Linked DNA regions of Sus scrofa. The protein of the gene in region 5 binds, or shares a complex with, the protein of the main gene of each other region. Links are inferred from orthologs where the notes say so. Each region holds a gene or a part of one and is shown on either strand. Other genes may lie near its edges. The genes, in order: CACNB3, STAC3, CACNB1, CACNB2 and CACNG1.

Region 1 (4,117 bases), on a different chromosome or scaffold from region 5:
CCAAATGGTGCTGGACTCAGGAGAAGGACCTGGGAAAGCAGACTGCCCCCCTCCCCCCAACAGGGAGCCATGGGGGCTCTAACAAAGTTGTTTGCCAAATCCAGCAGGAGGAAGATGCTGGGCAGGGCTGGACTGCACCACTTACAGGGTGTGGACAGACTAAAGCAGACTAAAGATGTCTTAAGATGAGGCTCCTCTTTTTCTTGCTAAGGGAACGTGAACAAGTGACATAGTGAGAAGCCAGTTGGGGCTTCTTTTTTTGGGGGGCGGGGTCTTCCTCTCTCGCGAAGGCACAATGCTTCCCATCATGGGTCTCATCAACCCTGTCAGAGTTTTGGTTTTCTAATTCCCCGGTAGCCCAGGAAGGTGAAGGCGTGAGCAGATTTCTGATTCACCCCCCTGGGTGTGAGACAGTGGAAAAGGAGAAGGACTGAGCTTCTGAAGCTTTCTAGTAATCTTCCCTGGCGCATCCCTGGGGGTGAGGATGGGGTGGAGGAGAGTAGGTAGGCAATCAAAATTCAAGGGGATAATTTTGTTCAGGAGATAAAAAAAAAAAAAAAAACAGGAAGGAACTCAAATGGGTGGAACTTTGAGGAAGTTTCCTGAAGATAAGGACTGCTGCTCAGTTCTAACCTCAAATCTTAGTGCCCTTTTGAAGGCGACTGCCTGGTTAAGCGGCTCCAAGCAGGATACTGGCCATCCCACCCCACCTCCATCCTCTTGCCAAGGAGGGGATCTGGCCTCACACTAGTGACTCTGAAGGGGGAAACGTGCCCCGGACCCCACCTTCCGCCCCAGCCCCAGCCATCCCCTTACCTCTGCTCTCAGGTTTCTTCCCTCTCCCTTTAGGCTCGCCTAAAACAGCCCCTCCCTACCCCAGTTCCCACGGATGCCTTGGCAACGCCCCGCACAGCCCTTGGCAGGGAAGTGAGGAAGGGAACCCCCATCCTGGCCAGACGAGGATGAGATCTGCCCGCGCAACAGGTGTGGGGCGGCGGGACCCCAAACCTCCCCCTTCGCACCGCTTGGGCATCGAGGCCCTTTGCTGCCAAAGTCCCAACACGGAGAGGGCCGAGCGCCTGGGGTGGGGAAAGGCTACTTTCTTGCCACGGCCTGGGGTCGCTAAGCCCATTCCTTCCCGGTGCCACTGCTGGGTTTGCTTTTGGAGTCTCCCGGGCCGCCAGGGCCCAGACACACCGCCCTCTCACCTGCCGCCCCTCCCCCGCCCGCCGCCCGCCCCCGCCCCGCCTCCTCCGTCTCCCTCCGTCTCCCTCCGTCTCCCCAGGCTCCTGCCTCCCCACTTCCTCCCTGTGCCTCTCCTCCTCCCTTCTCCGTTTCCCACCGCCCGGTAGCCGGCGCCCTCTCCTTTCTCGCCGGGGTCTCGGCTTCCCTGCCGTCTCGGCGCAGCCTCCCCTCCCCCGCCCCAGCCCTTTGTTTCCCGGCGGAGTATTTCCTGGGTTGCCGAGCGTCTCTGTCTCCGCATCTCTCCTCGCCCCGCCTCCTGCAAGGCTGGATCCGCCCCGCCCGCAGTCTCTCCTCCCCTTCCTCCCTGCCGCCCCTCTGCCCCGCAAGTGCTAGGGGACCCACCTTCTGGCCAGCTCCTGCGGGCAACCCTCTGCCCGCCGGCTCTCGGGCTCCCCAGTGGCCGGCGCCCCCCGCCGCCACCCCCGCCCGCTCCCAGGGAGGGGGGGTCAGGTGGGCGGGCACTATTGTTGTAGGAGCCGGCGCCAGATTCCTCGGCGGCGCTCGGGGTGGGATCGGCAGGGTTTGGGGGGGTGGGGTGGGGGGAAGCGGTGATTTGAGCTCGGAGCAGCTGGTCTTCGCGGCTCGCTCCCTCCTGCGTGCTCCCGCTCTCCTCCGCCGCCGCCCGCAGGGCTGCGGGGCTCGGTGGCATCTCCCGGGCGCGGCCCGCTGTCCTCACCCCTGCCTCCGGGCCGCTCCCGCCCCCGGCGCCGCTCCTTCCCCCCCCATCCGGACTCCCCCATGTATGACGACTCCTACGTGCCCGGGTTTGAGGACTCGGAGGCGGTGAGTGCCTACGGGGAGGGTGGGGGTGGGGAAGTTGGGGTGACACCTTCTCTCTCTTGGACCCTTCCCCCAGTTCAGGACTTTGGGAAAAAAAAAAAAAAACCCGCTTCTGTGGCGGGGCAGGGCGTGGGGGGGGGCGCTCCAGGAAAGTGGGGAGATGGGTTTTCATGCCAGAGGCTCCCAGTGCTCCTGTCCTAGAGCAAGGGGCGTCGGGTGTGTGCAGAGAGGGGCTAGTTGGGGGGGGGGGCTCAGAGCAGGTGGCTCCACAGCCCAGGATAGAAGGGTAGAGGGAGGAGGGGCTGGAGGCAGAGGGCCCAGAGGCTTTAGAGAGGCCTCACTGCAATGTCTGGAGTTCCCAAGGGGTGATTTGTGGGGTCTGAACATAACAGCCACAGGAGAAACTGGGGCTCTTGCAGAGGGGGACCCTCCAGACCTCCTGTGCCTCAAGTAAAGGACAAATTAGGGAGCCTCTAGGACAGCAGAGAATCCGACACCAGCCTCTTCAGACAGGAGGATCCTGAAACTTGAGGACTCCATTGTCCCCCTGCGCTGTCCATCCCTGAGCGTGGCCTTATCTCTCACCCTGCCTCACACCCAGCTTCTCTCCCAGGCTGAAAACTGGGCAGCCAGCACACGAGTGGGCCAGCTGACCGAGCCCCATCCATTCGACTCCTCCTGCTGAGGCAGCCTCAGAGCAGTGGGGGGCTCAGCATGGAGGGCCTGGAGGGGAGGCCAGAGATGCTGAGGGCCTGGGGATAGAGAGGAAGCTCTTTGCTCAGAGAACCAGGCAACTGATAAATATTTAATTCTCCTCTTTGCTTTTATCTCCTGACCTGCTGAGACAAATCAGCTCATTAGGCAGTGATTCCCGGAGCTCAGAGAGCAGGGACAGTGCCTGGAAAGATGGGGCACGGGAGGGCAGCCGCATCTCAGTGCCTTCCCTCAAACACCCTACCAGAGGCGCCCTTATGAGAGCAGCTAGATGGCGTGGAAGGGGTCCCTCACAGGTGTGGAGGCTAGCGCACTCCAGGCTCGCAAGGGGCCTGTTGTGGGTCTTCCTTCTCCCATCTCTCCCGAGGCCAAGCCCAGGGTAGGTGAGTTCTAGGGCTCAGAATAGACAGCTATCAATCCTTTTCCAGGACTGGGCTCCTGCTGGGCCCAGTTCCCGTAGGGCCTCTGGGGCTAATTGCATTGCGGCTAGAGCAGATGAATTTCAAGGCTCTGGTGGACACCTCTTTCTGACAGTTGAAGGGACAGATGGCATGGCCCAGGGTGCCAAGGTGAGCTTGAGAATGCACCTTTGTGTGGGGCTGGAGGGCCCTAGAAGGTTCTTGCCTTCCCGAGTTGGCTAGCACTGCTGCAAGGTGAAGACTGACATGTAGGTGGAGTTGGGGGCAGCCCGCTCCCCCTTCGGCGCAGGCTTCTCATCCCTCCCTGGCTCCTGGGTTACCCTCCCCCACTCCTCTTTCTCCTGCCTGGCTTCTTGCTCTCCCCGAGGCCCCCTCTGAAGCAGTAGGAGGGAAATCAGGCTCTAAATAAATCCAACGGCTCATCTCCCTCCTCTCCTTCCCCCGTGCCAGGCAAGAGTGGAGCTGCAGCCTGCCCACACACTCCCCAGGCAAGGGGGGCACCACCAGGGCACCGTGCCAACTCCTGGCAGCTTCAAAGTACCAAGCCTCTGGCTGTTTTGGCATCACAGGGGGTGGGGGAGGCAAGAACCCAGAGTACCCTTGGCAGCCCCGACCTCCCTGAGTGATACTGGAGCATGAGCGATGGGTGAGCCCCAGGGACTTGGGAGTAACAGAGAGGGGGGTTCCATTCTGAGCACTCGACCCGTCAGACATTTAGGAAGAGATCCTGTCTGTCCCCCTTCCGAGGGTGAGAGGCCAGGTAACCCAGGTGCCCCAGGCAGGGACACAGAAATGACTAAACTGCACTGAGAGCCTGGAGAACAGCGAATACAGGCCAGACTCCTCTCCCAGCGCAGGTGTAGGCATCTAGGAAGAAGCCTGTCACAGTGAGTGGTCGTCCTGCCTCGCCTCCTGCTCCCGGCCAGTTGGCCCCTGTCCACTGCAGACAGCCCTTTCCC
Region 2 (4,159 bases), on a different chromosome or scaffold from region 5:
GAGGTTAGGCGGGTGAAAGTTTCAGTTTTGGTTCTGTCTCTTCCTGAGTAGAGCCCCAGCTAAACCTTATTTCCCTCAGCTATAAAACAGAGGAATACTGACTCTGCATCCAAGATGGCCAAGATACTAGGTTGAGCGAGAACCACAGGATATAGAATCTTTCTGTTTCAGAATTTTGTTTCCACATCTGGAAACCACCTCTAGGCTTGCCCATTCCCTCAGGTCCTGTATGGGGCACTTACAGAGATCTTTGACACAAGCGTACTGCTGGTTGCTGTAGAGTGGGGAGCTATAGGCCCGACGGAAACCAGGGGGCTGTAGGATGGGATGGGAGAAAGCATTAGAGATAACAAGGTAGAGCCCCAAACCCCACCTCTCCCATGAACGTCCACCCTTTCTTGGAGTAAAAGATAGGCTGAGGAAGAAAAAGCAGGGAAATGGATGGGATGCCTTGAGGAGGGACCGGCAAGGAGGTAGCGGGCAACATGTCCCCTCCCTTCTACTTTCTTGCTCCCCAGAGCCTACTCACGATCTTGCCGAAGCATCTCTGCATCTCCACGTAGGACTGACAGTGTTCGTGGATGTTAGTTTTGCAGTTCTTACAGCGAAGCCCAAATTTGTTGTTGACTTGGGAGATGGGGAGAACATTTGCGTGAGGTTCCTGATTGCCCTTTCCCTTCCTAACACTGCTGCTACTCTAGTTCTCAGGTCCCTTTTCAGTATAGGACCTGACACTCTCCATCTCTGCAGTAGTTTCTTAAAGCTAAATCTTGCCACAGCCTATCTGATGTACAAATACTCCTCTCCTAAATCCTTTCCCCTGCCCCCTGCCTTTGGCATCACACTCTCCACTTCCCTCTGTGACTCACGCACAATCATCCGGGCGCAGACGTCACAGAACTTGGGCTTCTTGAAGAAGTGATCTTTGAATTTGTGGGGCTTATCATTGACAAGCTTGGGAGGTTCTGGGAGTGGTTCTTCTTCCTCTTCCTCCTCTTCTTCCTCTTCCTCATAGATGTAGTAGATGGGCCCACCCCCAGCTCCCACTGCCTCCCCATTGGCCTGGGGCTCTGGGGGAAGCTCCATCTCCTTTGTCCCTGTAGACTCCTTCCTAAATAACTGCTTCAGCCGCTGTAGCTGAGGGAGGGAAGGAAGGAAGGAGGGAAGGAAGGAAACCCAGTGTTAAAGGAACTGTCTTGCTTTTTAGAGTAGGTCAGGCTGAAGCTAACTAGACATTCTTCAAGCTTGGGGCAAGGGGCACACCCCAGGATTAGGGGGTCCTGGGGCCTGTAGGTGCTAGCTAGCATTTGAACAATACATGAATCGTATACAAGTGAGATCAATTCAAGCAATTTTCTTCAAGACTGCAGTGGCTTCCCAGCTCCCCATACCCCATGGTCAAGGCCCAGACTCACCCCACTTTGCCGAGTCTCTCCTGGGAAGGAGGGCTTATGGGACTCCAGCACCTCCTTTTCTGTCATCCTGCAAGAGGTTGACCTCACTATGAAATCTAATCTCTGAATGACATTCTTCCCCCCTTGTTCCTGTCCCTTGCAGTAGGGTGGTCCTTGAAGGGGAGGCTTTGGGAGAAATTTGGTTAAACAGAGATTCTTTCACAGACAGGGGCAAGGAGCAGAAAGATTCCAGAAAGGCCCAGAGAAAAGCCCAACAGACAAAAGAACTTCCCTACCAACTCCTTAAACCAATGACCATCCTTCTATCCTGATGGGCAACCCCAGAGTTTACTGCCCTGAGACAGTGCACAAGGCTGTGTGGTTTAGGCATTTTCCTACAAGCACTTTGTTTCTCTTGGGAATCTGTGGGCTTTGGTTTTTATTTATTTATTTTTGTCTTTTTCTAGGGCTGCACTCGTGGCATAGGGAGGTTCCCAGGCTAGCGGTCTAATTAGAGCTGCAGCTGCCGGCCTACACCACAGCCGCAGCAATGCCGGCTCCTTACCCCACTGAGCAAGGCCAGGGATCAAACCCGCAACCTCATGGTTCCTAGTCGGATTCGTTAACCACTGAGCCATGATGGCAACTCCAAGGGAATCTGTGGGCTTTAGAAATGTGACACACACCTTCCCAGATCCCCTTTCAAGAGGTTTAATGTGCATGTCCACAAGTGCGCATAGAGGGATGGGCTGGGGACATTTGTTCTCTCCTACCTTTCTTGAGCTCAGGGGCCCGGTGCCTAGTTCCCTAGTTCCCAGCCTGCCTCAGGCTTCAGCTATTTTAAGTTTTCAGAGTAATATGAGACTTTCCTTCCCTTACTACTCTACTCCCCTGACCCCACCCCCACCCTACCCTTCAATCCTAACTCTTGTCCTGGAGTAGCTTAATAATTTCACTCCTAAAACCCAAACTACTCACAGACAATGAGAGAAATGAAGAAGCTGAATAGACTACGGATTGGGGAAGCTGGGGTGAGAAGTCCTGGAAACGCAAAGAGGATGAAGAGGCAACTTACGTTTGGGATTCCCTAAGTCAGTCCACAGTCTGTGGAGAAAAGAGGGAGCCCCTGGGGTCTTGATGGTGGTGCTGGGGGAGGACTGGTCCTCTTCCTTGGGGGCTAAGCCCCCCCAGTACCCTCTGTACTCACACCAGCTACCCAGACGGTATTTGTAGACCTCCTAGCCTCTCGCCTTGGTGTCAGAGCTGAAATGACAGGGCTGGAGGAAAGTGGACAGCTGAGCGACACAGCTGACACAGAGAAATTGGACACGAGGAGGTCTGGGCAGGGCTGGACCCTAACTCCTCCCATCCCCCCACACTGCTGTTGCTTGGTTTTTCATCCACGGTGTGCAGTTCAGCATTGGCTAAACTCAGGAGGGGACAGTGTCCATGCTGGACACTTGCGTGGCTGATTTTAGATGACTTACAAACAGCCTTATCCATCCCCTTTCCCCCAAGGTCTCAATACCTCCCCGATTCTCCCCTCCTTGAACCTGTTTTAGGAACTAGCCTTTGACTTCTTAGCCATTGTCTTCTTGTGGTCCCTGTCTTGTTTTTATACCCTCAAGCATCGATCTAGGCTCCAACAGTAAGAAAGCTTGGAAACTGGTCAAGAAAGGATAATTTGGATTTCCAGAGCTCAGCCAAACTAGATTGCCTTTTTTTTTTTTTTTTTTTTTTGGCCGTGCTCACGGCATGCATAAATTAATTCCCGGACCAGGAATTGAACCCATGTCACAGCAGCAACCAGAGCCATAGAAGTGATAATGCCGGGTCTTTAAACCACTGAGCCACTAGGGATCTCCTAGATGGCCTTCCTGCCCATGAGCAGTGGCTGCTATCTGGTAAGGCAGTGACGACACGCAGTATTGCTTTGTTCCCTCCAGCTGCCCCCAGAGATCTTTTCCCTATTTCTCTAAAGTCTTGTCCTCAGGGTGAAAGGAATTCTAAGAGCTATTTTAAAAAGTCAGGCTGGGACTTCCACCTGAGGGTCTCTGAGGGAGTGAGGGTCCAATGATCACAGAGATGGTTTCATTAACATTGCACAGAAGGCAAGAGTTGTCACATTGGGAGTTTTTATCATCTGTAAGTAAGTCTCCTTCCTCATGGGAGCTGCAAACTCTTGGAGACAGGATGGCCAAGCCTCACATTTCCTTCATCATTCTGACTCCCTGATTCCTTCTCTTTCTGATGATGTCCTGGCATATGAACTGATGGGTCAATGAGATAGTTGGCATTCTTTTTTTTGGAGGGGGGTCTTTTTAGGGCTGCACCTTCGGCATATGGAAATTCCCAGGCTAGAGTCAAATTGGAGCTGCAGCTGCCAGCCTATACCACACCACAGTCACAGCAACGTGGGATCCGAGCCTTGTCTGTGACCTACACCACAGCTTACAGCAACACCGGATCCTTTGACTCAATGAGTGGGTCCAGGGATGGAACCTGCATCCTCAGGGACATTAGCTGGGTTCATTACTGCTGAGCCACAACAGGAACTCTGATATCTGGCATTCTTTTTTTTTTTTTTTTTTTTTTTTTTTTGTCTTTTTGCTATTTCTTGGGCCGCTCTCGCGGCATATGGAGGTTCCCAGGCTAGGGGTTGAATCGCAGCTGTAGCCACTGGCCTACACCAGAGCCACATCAACGCGGGATCCGAGCCGCGTCTGTAACCTACACCACAGCTCACAGCAACGCTGGATCGTTAA
Region 3 (3,512 bases), about 9.6 Mb from region 5:
TCATAGGGTTTTGATGATAGATAAATGAGATAATGGATGTGAAACATATAAAACCTGGCACACAACATGGATGCAACTAGAGATTCTCATTCTAAGTGAAGTAAGTCAGAAAGAAAGACAAATACCATAAGATATCACTTGTATGTAGAATCTAAAATATGCCACAATGGGGAGTTCCTGTCGTGGCGCAGTGGTTAACGAATCCAACTAGGAACCATGAGGTTGTGGGTTCGATCCCTGGCCTTGCTCAGTGGGTTAAGGATCTGGTGTTGCTGTGACCTGTGGTGGAGGTCGCAGACACGGCTCGGATCCCGCATTGCTGTGGCTCTGGTGTAGGCCGTTGGCTGCAGATCCGATTCGACCCCTAGCCTGGGAACCTCCATATGCCATGGGAAGCGGCCCTAGAAAAGGCAAAAAGACTAGATAAATAAATAAATAATAAAATAAAATATAGCACAGTGGATTTCCCTTGGATTGTAAAAATGTAGCCCACCTAATCCTCAGGGCAGCCTTTTTGCCTGCCCGCTTGCATCTCTCATAAGTATCTCATCTTAATAAATGTATTTCTTGCCTATCAAAAAAAATATGGCACAAATCAACCTATCTACAACCTATCATAGAGAACAGACTCGTGGTTGCGAAAGTGGGAGAGAGGTGGGGGTGGGATGGATGGGGAGTTTGGGGTTGGTAGAATGGGTAAGCAATGAGGTCCTGCTGTACAGCCCAGGGAACTACATCCAATCACTTGTGATAGAACATGATGGAAAATAATATGAGAAAAAGAATGTATATATATGGATGATTGGGTTACCTTGCTATATAGCAGAAATTGACAGAACATTGTAAATCGACTATACTCTAATAAAAAAAGGAAGAAAAAAGAACATATACATACACATTGAAAAAAAATACCTGGCACTCTAAACAGTAGCGGCTATCATTATTATTACTGTTATTTATTCGTATTGTTATTCTTCCTTCTTGGTGTCGTTCTGGGCTCCTCCACCCCCTGTACTTGATCATTCCCTGATGCCCTCCTCTACCTTCAAAGGACTGAGTTCTAGTTTTTGCTTTCTTTTTGTTTTTTTAGGGCCGCACCAGAGGCATATGGAGGTTCCCAGGCTAGGGGTCGAATCAGAGCTGCCAGCCTACACCACAGCCACAGCCACAGCAACATCAGATCCGAGCCGCGTCTGCGACCTACACGGCAGCTCATGGCAACGCCGGGTCCTTAATCCACTGAGCGAGGGCAGGAATAGAACCTGCACCTTCATGGATGCTAGTTTGGTTTGTTTCCATGGCACCACAATGGGAATTTTTTGCTTTCTTTTTTTAATTGTGAAATTTAATATACACATAAAAAGCCATTCAGTATATGTTTTTCTTTCAAAAATTTTTCTTTTTAAATTTATTTATTTTTTGTCTTTTTGCCTTTTCTTGGGCCGCTCCCGCGGCATATGGGAGGTTCCTAGGCTAGGGGTCTAATCGGAGCTGTAGCTGCCGGCCTACACCAGAGCCATAGCAACGTGGGATCTGAGCTGTGTCTGCAACCTACACCACAGCTCACAGCAACGCCAGATCCTTAACCCACTGAGCGAGGCCAGGGATCGAACCCATGTCCTCATGAATGCTAGTCAGGTTCATTAACCACTGAGCCACGACGGGAACTCCTATTACAAGATTTTGAATATAGTTTCTTTTTTGGTCTTTTTTTTTTTTTTTTTTTTTTTTTTTTTGCCATTTCTTGGGCCGCTCCCGCGACATATGGAGGTTCCCAGGCTAGGAGTCCAATCGGAGCTGTAGCCCCCAGCCTACACTAGAGCCACAGCAACGAGGGATCCGAGCTGTGTCTGCAACCTACACCACAGCTCATGGCAACGCCGGATCCTTAACCCACTGAGCAAGGCCAGGGATCGAACCCGCAACCTCACGGTTCCTAGTCGGATTTGTTAACCATTGAGCCATGACGGGGACTCCTGAATATGGTTTCTTGTTCTGTATAGTAGGTCCTATCTATTTTATGTATGATAGTGTGTACAGTATATGTTTTAATAAGCAAGTTACCAAACAAACATCTCCATAATCACCACCCCAGTCAGGACGTTGTGCATCGTGTCGTGATTTAACCCTCTGGTTGTGGTCCTCCTCCAGACCAAGCCAGTGGCATTTGCTGTGAGGACAAATGTTGGCTACAACCCATCTCCAGGGGATGAGGTGCCTGTGCAGGGAGTGGCCATCACCTTCGAGCCCAAGGACTTCCTGCACATCAAAGAGGTGGGGAGAGACCACTTGGCATCTGGGGGGAGAGCAGGGTAGTGGGTGCTAGGAGAGGGGCAGCCAGAGCTCTGGTGGAATAGGACTTCTGAGCCAAGCAGAGCTGGGCTAAATCTGCTGTGTGACCTTAGACAAATCTTTCCACCTCTCTGAGCTTCAGATTTTTCATTGGTAGAACAGGATGGTGATGCCTAGGTCGCCCGGTTGTTGGGAGGGATTGCGACGAGACCTGTCAGCAGAGTGGCAGTGTGCCAGGCACAAGGAGGTGTCAGCATTTCCTTCTCTCCCTGCCTTTCCAGGGTAGAGCTGGCACACGTGGGGAGGAAGGTCTCTCAGGGCAGGGACGTGCTTGGGGACAGGGTGGTCCGTGGCACACGAGGATGCTGGTTCCAGAGGAGCCTGAGAATTGGGGGCTGTACTCAGAGGCTGGAGCCAGGCCTGGGCTCTTTGAGGGTGCTACCCCCTGGGCAGGGTAGGCAAGGCGGGGGATGCGGTCCCTTGAAGCTGGCTGCTGGCTGGTACCTCTCATGTCCCTCTTGGTCTCTCCCACCCCACCTGCTGTTGTTGTTTGCAGAAATACAATAACGACTGGTGGATCGGGCGGCTGGTGAAGGAGGGCTGTGAGGTCGGCTTCATCCCCAGCCCTGTCAAACTGGACAGCCTGCGCCTGCTGCAGGAACAGAAGCTGCGCCAGAACCGCCTCAGCTCCAGGTGTCCGGCTGGGGGGCAGGGCGCCCCCACCCCCGGGAGAGGCTGTCTAGCCAGGAGTGGGCCCCAAGGGTTGACCCGCTGCCCTGAGGACAAAGAGCTGCCTGTGGCATCACCAGTGGAGCTGGAGAATCCCTGGGGTGGGGCTGGGGGCTGGGGCGGGAGAGAGAATCAGAGCCCCCACCCTCCCGCCTACCTCTCTGCTCACGGCTCCATTTGCCTCTCTGCCCACACAGCAAATCAGGTGACAACTCCAGCTCCAGTCTGGGAGATGTGGTGACTGGCACCCGCCGCCCCACGCCCCCTGTCAGTGGTAAGAGCTGCCGTCACCCCACGGGGTGGGATGGAGCTCCTGGGCGGGCTGGTCTCCCCACGGCCTGTCCCCTCCTTTCCCTGCGGTAGGGAGCACCCCGATCCTGTGACCTCCAAACACATCCAGTGGTCCCCCCTCCCTGAAGAGCAGGACACCCCACAAGCTGGGCCTGGCAGCGCCCATTCGCTCATGACTCTGCTCCCCATTTCTTTGGTAG
Region 4 (4,150 bases), on a different chromosome or scaffold from region 5:
AAAAGAGCAATGGCTACTGCTTCCTTGTTTCTAAGATAAAAGGAACAGAACAATATCTCCAAGTAATGTACACTCTGCACATCCTACCCTAAAAAATCAGACCCAGTGCCCCCCTCCCCACCCAAGAAACCGACACTGTCTTTACTAAACCTAAAGAAGTCTGAACTCACTCTGTGGAGGAGAGGGATAAATTAGGATTGGGGAGTGACATATACACATTACTGTATATAAAGTAGATAAACAACAAGGACCTACAGTATAACACAGAGACCTCTTCCCAATAGTCTGTAATATCCTTTACAGGGAAAGAATCTGAAAAAGAATGGATGTATGCATATGTATAACTGAATCACTCTGCTATACGCCTGAAACAAACACGATATTGCAGGTCGACCAAACGCCCATAAAAAAAAAAAAAAAAAAAAAGAATTCTGAAGTTAAAAACATCTTGAAATCACAATCTGGTCTTTGTATTAACACATTTTAAGTTCCATGTGTAGAGGCGAATACGAAGCAGCTTAAAAATGACAAAACAAGCCAAGGGTTTGCGTCCTATAGTTTACATTTTCGCAAGCACACCCTCATGCTTTTGCCAAGGGGTTTCCAACACGTATGAGATAATTATAGGCTCTTCTGAGGCAAATCCTTTACGAAAAGTTCTCCCAAACGTGAAACCACTAGATGTCTTTATGTTCGCCAATGATGTGTTTCTGCTTAACAAAATGTGTTTCGAAGAAATCGCAAATCATCGTCTACTTACCCAGGAGACATTTTTACCCTTCGGCGTCTTTTGCATGGCAACCTGTAATCCTGAGGTGGCCAACAGCAATGTCACCAACATGGACAAGCCAGTGAAGTCTATTCCAAGTGTCTCTGTTACCCAAATGCAAAAAGTTCCCTGGATTGCCAGACACAGACATCGTAAGTAAAAATAAAGATCACCTTCGGATGACCCATTTTTCTTCGCTGGACTAAGCATGTAAACGCACACATACCAGATCACGGGCTCTAATCACCCAGCCTATGGAGGCAGAGGCTGCCACATGTGTATCTTCTCTACGACTGCAAGATGCAGAGTGGAGTATTTCGTTAAAAACAAAAACAAAAACACAAGACTTGACTCCAGGTGGAAATGCTCAAAATCACAGAGAAATCCGTCCCTCTGCCGCTAAAGTGCAATTTCCAATGACTCCCCAAGACCAAGAGTTCACAAGAAGCTTGGGAGCGATGGCTTATAATTACTTAGCAAGAAGAAAAGTGAAAGCAGGTAGCATTTAGAAGACTGTCCAGGTCAGCTGCTGGTGGCATCCATTTTAAGAGGCGCCTCACTTCAGGGCTGCCCAGAGGATAAAGAGAAAGCAGAGCTCAGTTTCAATAAATAATACATAGTCTCAGGTACGGAGTGTACCTGGAAGTACCTTCTGCGCAGCCTCACGCCAGAGGGATCTCGCTCCGCAGGCCGGCGCCTCCCCGTGCACTTGCTGTTGGTGAGGCTGCTTTGTCAAAGGCTGGTCTCCTAACAACCAGGAACATTTGTTTATAAGGGAAGAAAAATAGAAGCCCCAGAGGGGAGCAAATGAGAAGCCCCAGATGGAAGAGCGAGGCTGGGCATCAGTGCTGGTCTCCTCCCCTTGGTTCTGTGTCCTTGTGTCCCGTTTCTTTTACCTCCTGTCAATCTAGATTTACTAAGCCGATCCAGGCTAAATTTTGCTACTATCAGTAGTGATTAGTTTGAGTTGATGAAATCGGATTATACAGGCGGGCTTCTCTGCCTTCTCTCTGGGCAAAGCCACACCAAGCGATTGGAAAGCCTGCTGTCCTTCTCGTCACCGGACTGAAGCGTTCTGGAAGGTTCTGCCAGAGGGACTATGCTCACAAGAGAAAAGCCTGGCCATCTAAAGCTGCTCCAGATACAACTGGAGGGGGAATAAAACCCGCTATGTCACTTTTGACTTTGGTTTTCATCCAAGTTCTAATGTTCTCTCTGATAGAAAGTTAGATTACCACAGGAAAAAAGTGCATAGCATTTTTCCATGTCATCAAAAATTACTGTTCCCCAGCAGGGTAACTACTTGGATCAAGCGATGGAGGTCATGGGAGATTACGGAAGGGCTTTGACTGCAAAGTCACTTTTCTTGAACATCTGTTATATGCCAAGAAGAGTCTGAAGGAATGGGTCTACTCTCAGGCCAAACAACCCTGGAAGTAGGCATGAATATCACTGCTTTAAAGAGAGAGAAATGAATGTGTAGAGACGTGAAATAGCGAGAGACGTCTGAATGCATATTTAGAGAAATGAACATTTAGAGATGTTTCTTCCTCCTCTCAACGGCAGGGGGGATACATTAGGGGGTTAGGACTGACATATACCCACGACTGTATTTAAAATGGACAGGACCTACTGTATAGCACAGAGTAATCTATTCCGTATTGTGTAATAACCTATGTAGGAAAAGAATCTGAAAAGGAGCAGATATATGTATACGTAGAACTGAGTTACTACGCTGTACAACTGAAACTAACACAACTTTCTAAGTCAACGATACTCCAATAAAATGTATTTTAAAAAAGAATCCTCTCAGTGAAGATCTACTGAGCCAAAGCAAGGCTGCTGAGATTCCTCTCAATGAAATCAAATGGCACCTGGATTTTTTTCTTGAGATCTTTCCCATTCTACCATAAAAGAGTATTTACACACATATATATACACACGTATACACGTATATATGTGTGTGTGTATATATATGTCTTTTCAGGCATATATACATGTATATATATACACACACATATACACGTATATATATGTGTGTGTCTTTTCAGGGGTACACCTGCAGCATATGGAAGTTCCCAGGCTAGGGTTGAACTGGAGCTGCAGCTGCCAGCTCACACCACAGCCAGAGCAACACCAGATCTGAGATGCAGCTCCACAGCAACACTGCATCCTTAACCCACTGAGCGGGGCTAGGGATCGAACCCACATCCCCATGGATATTAGGTGGGTTTGTTACCGCTGAGCCATAATGGGCACTCCTAAACACATATTTTTAATTCTTCCAGTTTTATTGAGGCGTAATTGGCATACACCGCTGTGTAAGCTTAAGGCGTACAGCACAGTGATCTGACTTACATACACCAGGAAATGATTACATGGGTTTCGCGAACACTGTCATCTCACATGGATATTAAAGAAAGAGTGTGATGAGAACGCAAGGGAAACAAAAGCGAAAATAAACTGAGTGCCTTTAAGGACTCCATGTTGTTCTTAAGCGTCTAAGAATTCTCTGGAATTATGGTTCCTACTTATTTTGAAAATAATTATGTTGCAGGGCTCCTCTTAAGAAGTGTTTTAAATCAAATTTTTGTAAAGTATAAAACAGCTAATGCGGGGCTGCACCGCTAACCACCTAAATATCAGTGTTGCGAGCAAAGCACCTGACGATTTTATGCGGTACCTTCAACAGGTACATCAATAATACCTGACATTCCCTGAAAATATTCTATGTGGTTAGTATGTTACCTTTTTTATCTTACTCATAACTGACAACAACCTTATGAGGTGGATTTCAAATTTGTTGGATGATTTGGGAAGAGTTAGTATTAATCAATACTGAATTGTTAAAAACCCTGACAGTCCAATAAAAATTACAGATATGAACAAAAGTTTCAACTCATTCAGGGTCAGAAGAAAAATTAAAATCGAAGTGGCGATAAAAAGAAAATTTTAAATGAAAGATTTCTTTATTTTGAATACTCTCTGTGTGTGTGTAAATTTCATCTGCCTATGAAGCTAGAAGCTCCCTAAGGACGTGGTCCTCGTCTACTCTTTTATCTTCGGGGAATACAGGACTCATGGTTGCTCAATGGCTGTTGTTGACTAATTAGTTGCTGTTCCATTATGAATTTTATTTATTTTTACGGCCGCACCCACAGCATATGGAAGTTCCCAGTCAGGGACTGAATCTGAGCTGCAGCGGCAGCAATGCTGAATCCTTTAACTCACTTTGCTGGGCCAGGGATTGAACTCATGCCTATATAGTGACCCAAGCTGCTGCAGTTGGATTCTTAATCCACTGTGCCACAGCAGTAACTCCTATCACGAATTTTAAGTGGTTCTTTGAATACAATTTTCTGTTAAATTTTTTGGCAGTGT
Region 5 (3,512 bases):
GACAGGCGCCCTCAGCGTACCTGCGAAGGCGTAGAACATGGACGCCGGCCTCAGCAGGTAATCCCGCTTCTTCCTGAAGGACAGGAGCCCGCAGATGGTTCCCAGGATGATGAAGCCGAGGCTGAAGATGGCGATGGCGGCCGCCGAGATGCTGTACTCTGCGACACACAGAAGGGGCAGAGACGCCCCCAGGCGCTTCAGAAGGGGCCTCATCCCCTGCACCTTTTGTCATTGCTGGTTGTGCCTGCAACCAGGTCAGCGAGGGTGCCACATCCAATGATTCCCATTTCCCAGGTGAGAAAACTGAGGTTCCAAGAGCCCTCGTTCAAAGGTAGGTAGTGGGTAAGGGGTGGGGCCAGGATGTTCTCCTGAACGAATTCCTTCTCCCAGGTCTTCCAGGCCCTAAACTGAAGTTCCTCCCTCCAGGGTCAGAGGCCCTGGAAGGAGGCGGGAAATGTGTGGCAGGAGGCCTTTCAGGAGCAGAAACCTTCCTCTGAGTGACAGGTCAGAAGGTGGCACTCAGGCTGGGGATGGTCTGTCCTGGGACTGACACGCCACCTCTGGAAGGAGGACAGAGTGTGACTTGTTACCCAGCTCAGTATGTGAGACGATCTGTGTGTGTGTCCGAGTGGGTACATGTGTGTGCCTGTGTGCGTGTATGCAGGTGTGTACATGCATGCATATTTGTGCATGCATGCATGTGTGCATAGGTGTGCACGTGTGCACGCCTGTGCTGTGTGCAGTCGTCTGCACCCGTGCCGATGCGGGGCTGTGCTTAGGCCAGAAGGGAGCCCTGGAGCCCCATGGTTCCCCAAAGGCCCCCCCAGGGCCCGAGTGCTCCAGGGGCCCCTCCTGTTATCCGCCCGAGTCCCCACCTTCTTTGATTCTCAGAGAGTGATTTCTACTCAGAAGGGCTCCCTACGGACTCTGACCCATTGGTTCTGAAAACCATCACCAGGATCTTGCATCCTTGTTTCCAGAGCTCCTGTCGCAGCAGCATCCCTCGGGCTCTGTGGGAAAATGAGCTCCTTCTGCCACTTGGGGAGCTACCAGGAACCATGTCTTTTACGAACTCGCCTGAGCTCTGAGGAAGGGACTCTCAGGAGCCCTGGAGACGGAGGGCAGCTGTCTCGGGAGCACAGAGGGTGCCCAGGCTGTTGCTCAAACGCATCGGGAGGGGCTGCCTGGTGTCAGAGCGGGGACGTTGGGGCTTCAGTGCCAGGTGATTTTCTGGCTCAGCAGCGGGTGACGGGAGCCACGCTGCCACCCCCTCTCCCATCTCCACGCGGGCTCACCTTTCTGAGTGGTGACGTGGAAGATCTCTGAGGTCTCGCCCGGGTTAAAATGCCTGAAGTAGGAACAGTTTTTCTCTGCAAAAAAGGGAGACAGCCTATGAGTCAAGAGAAGGGACCTGCAGCCGGGGCACAGGCTCAGCAAGAGAAGGCGGGTGTGAGCCCCCTGGGGAGGGGGGGAAAGGGCGCTTCTGACTGGCTCCCTGCTCCCCCAAACCTGACTCTGGGCGGAAATAAACATCTGTCTCTGACCTTCACCCACAATTTCGGCGCGAAAAGGAGGTTGCGTAAGAGACTGGCAGATCTTCAGGGAACTCAGGCTGACTGAGTCCAGGGGCAGAGAGCACTGGGGTACTGGGCCCATTAGGCAGATAGGGTAACTGAGGCCCAGAGCTCACGTTCTATGTTAGGGGGTGCAGGACACGTGGTCAACCAAGGGCCAGACAGTGGTTCTCAGCCAGGCCTGATTGTGCCTCCAGGGGACACCAGGCAATGTCTGGAGACATTTTTGGTGTCACAGCTGGGCAGGGGCTGCTACAGGTATTAGTGGGTAGAGGCCTGGATGCTTCTGACCATCCTACAGTGCACAAGACAGCCCCCCACAGCATATAATGATCTGGCCCCCAAATGTCAGCGCCAAGGTTGAGAAACCCTGGATCACATCCTCTCGAGGGTGGGGTTTTTATCAACATCCAGGCCCACCCTGAAGCACTGAGGGTGCCCTGGGAAGCAAACAGGGTTTTTCAAAAGCATTCCAGGAGATTCTGAAGCTCAGTCAGGTTTAGAAGCCAGACCCCTTAAAATGCTCATTTTCTGGGGAGCATTTTCCGAGTGGCCGTCTCTGGGATCTGGATCTGGATCTGGGTGAAGGGTAGAGAGCCTCTAATCAAGGGACAAATGTGACTGTCACATCATTTCATCAGGCCCTTGACACCTGCGGCCACAGAAGCAGCCCAGATAAGGCCTCTCAAGGAAGCTGCCTGGTCCACCTGATTTGTGTCAGAAAAGCCATAGCTGATCCGTGTTGGCAGTGGGACCGAAAATCTGGATTTGATGGGGACAGGGGAAGAACTCAAAACAGAGAAATTCATGCTGATTTTCAATATAATGTCTCTTCCGTTTTTCTCCTGTAAACTCTCTAATAACTCAACACACTATAGAATCAGAGGGTGGTCTTATCGCTTATTGGATATAGTTTGATAGTCTTTACTCCTGACTTAGGAAGTAGATGACTGGGTTATTTTATACTATTTTGTTTCTTAAAAAAAAAACAACAACAACAACAAAAAAACTAAATTCGGTTTTGTTTGGGTGAGACCGTTCATTGAATTATTTTTCCTGTGGATCCTTGAACCTCCGTAGAGAAATAGCTCTGCTCCTGGTTTAGCTGGCATCTGGTTTGTGCATTCATTCATTTCTTTACCTTCGGGCTACGTTCAAATTGTCGCCAGGTGATTGATGCCTCGTTTCTTTTGGAAGCACACCTGAGGTGCTGCTGAAGCCAGAGTTTTCACTGGGGCGCAGGCCTTCCTTCCGTCTGACCCATATCAGCTCCTTGCCGTTGAAGCCTGTGGCCTCCCACTCTCCCCGCTCCCCTAGGGTCAGGCTTATTGCTGCTCCCACAGTTGAGGATGCGCGTGACCCCAGAGACGGAGCCTGGTTTAGCAGCAGTAAATGTTCCTCTATATTTAAATCACGTTCCTTCTGAACTGAGTTACCTGGGTGTGTGGCTGCCGCTGGTGACATCAGAACTGATGCTCTCCCACAGCTTCTGGTGCTACTTGAAAGCATAATGCCACCCTCTTATATTTGTTAGAGTATTAGCTATAGATTCTCTCGAATCACTGCTTCAAAATGGCTCGTGCAATGTCGCAGAACTCCCAGTGTCTCCCTCTGGATAAAGGAACAATTTCTGTTTCATTCTTTCAGGGCCAATTTCGGGTGTCATTGAAAACCCTCTAAGAATTGGCGGAATTCAAGTGTATTTCACGGTCAGCTGCCTCCCTGACTACTCACAAGCCGAGAGTTAAAAGCCTTCGGCGCCGAGGGCCTAGAGATGAAGGCCCGTGGAGAGCCTGGCCCAGGCACAGCTGTTTGGCACAGGGGCTCACAGGGGCTCCTCTCGTGCAGATAGTGTTTGGGGTGTCAGTTCCCACCAGACAGACACCAGGCTTCGTTCTGGACAAACCACTGCTGTGGGGCGTTTGCGTGAAAACTGCC

What was found.
Region 1: CACNG1 (region 5) and CACNB3 share a complex: the UniProt entries of both Homo sapiens proteins name them as parts of the calcium channel complex. The link is inferred for Sus scrofa from reciprocal best matches to the Homo sapiens genes CACNG1 and CACNB3.
Region 2: CACNG1 (region 5) and STAC3 share a complex: the UniProt entries of both Homo sapiens proteins name them as parts of the calcium channel complex. The link is inferred for Sus scrofa from reciprocal best matches to the Homo sapiens genes CACNG1 and STAC3.
Region 3: CACNG1 (region 5) and CACNB1 share a complex: the UniProt entries of both Homo sapiens proteins name them as parts of the calcium channel complex. The link is inferred for Sus scrofa from reciprocal best matches to the Homo sapiens genes CACNG1 and CACNB1.
Region 4: CACNG1 (region 5) and CACNB2 share a complex: the UniProt entries of both Homo sapiens proteins name them as parts of the calcium channel complex. The link is inferred for Sus scrofa from reciprocal best matches to the Homo sapiens genes CACNG1 and CACNB2.

Annotation. Positions count from the first base shown.
Region 1 is NC_010447.5:14,877,131-14,881,247, forward strand, and holds the start of CACNB3 (voltage-dependent L-type calcium channel subunit beta-3), read left to right. Parts: upstream 1-1,312; 5' UTR 1,313-1,983; coding exon 1,984-2,028; intron 2,029-4,117. UniProt on the Homo sapiens protein: Regulatory subunit of the voltage-gated calcium channel that gives rise to L-type calcium currents. Increases CACNA1B peak calcium current and shifts the voltage dependencies of channel activation and inactivation.
Region 2 is NC_010447.5:22,553,530-22,557,688, forward strand, and holds the start of STAC3 (SH3 and cysteine-rich domain-containing protein 3), read right to left. Parts: upstream 2,802-4,159; 5' UTR 2,470-2,801; intron 1,581-2,469; 5' UTR 1,482-1,580; coding exon 1,416-1,481; intron 1,138-1,415; coding exon 870-1,137; intron 628-869; coding exon 530-627; intron 316-529; coding exon 243-315; intron 1-242. UniProt on the Homo sapiens protein: Required for normal excitation-contraction coupling in skeletal muscle and for normal muscle contraction in response to membrane depolarization. Required for normal Ca(2+) release from the sarcplasmic reticulum, which ultimately leads to muscle contraction.
Region 3 is NC_010454.4:23,044,686-23,048,197, forward strand, and holds part of CACNB1 (voltage-dependent L-type calcium channel subunit beta-1), read left to right. Parts: intron 1-2,151; coding exon 2,152-2,274; intron 2,275-2,848; coding exon 2,849-2,985; intron 2,986-3,218; coding exon 3,219-3,295; intron 3,296-3,512. UniProt on the Homo sapiens protein: Regulatory subunit of L-type calcium channels. Regulates the activity of L-type calcium channels that contain CACNA1A as pore-forming subunit.
Region 4 is NC_010452.4:44,593,598-44,597,747, reverse strand, and holds the start of CACNB2 (voltage-dependent L-type calcium channel subunit beta-2), read right to left. Parts: upstream 2,804-4,150; 5' UTR 980-2,803; coding exon 761-979; intron 1-760. UniProt on the Homo sapiens protein: Beta subunit of voltage-dependent calcium channels which contributes to the function of the calcium channel by increasing peak calcium current. Plays a role in shifting voltage dependencies of activation and inactivation of the channel.
Region 5 is NC_010454.4:13,469,710-13,473,221, reverse strand, and holds part of CACNG1 (voltage-dependent calcium channel gamma-1 subunit), read right to left. Parts: intron 1,371-3,512; coding exon 1,296-1,370; intron 159-1,295; coding exon 21-158; intron 1-20. UniProt on the Homo sapiens protein: Regulatory subunit of the voltage-gated calcium channel that gives rise to L-type calcium currents in skeletal muscle. Regulates channel inactivation kinetics.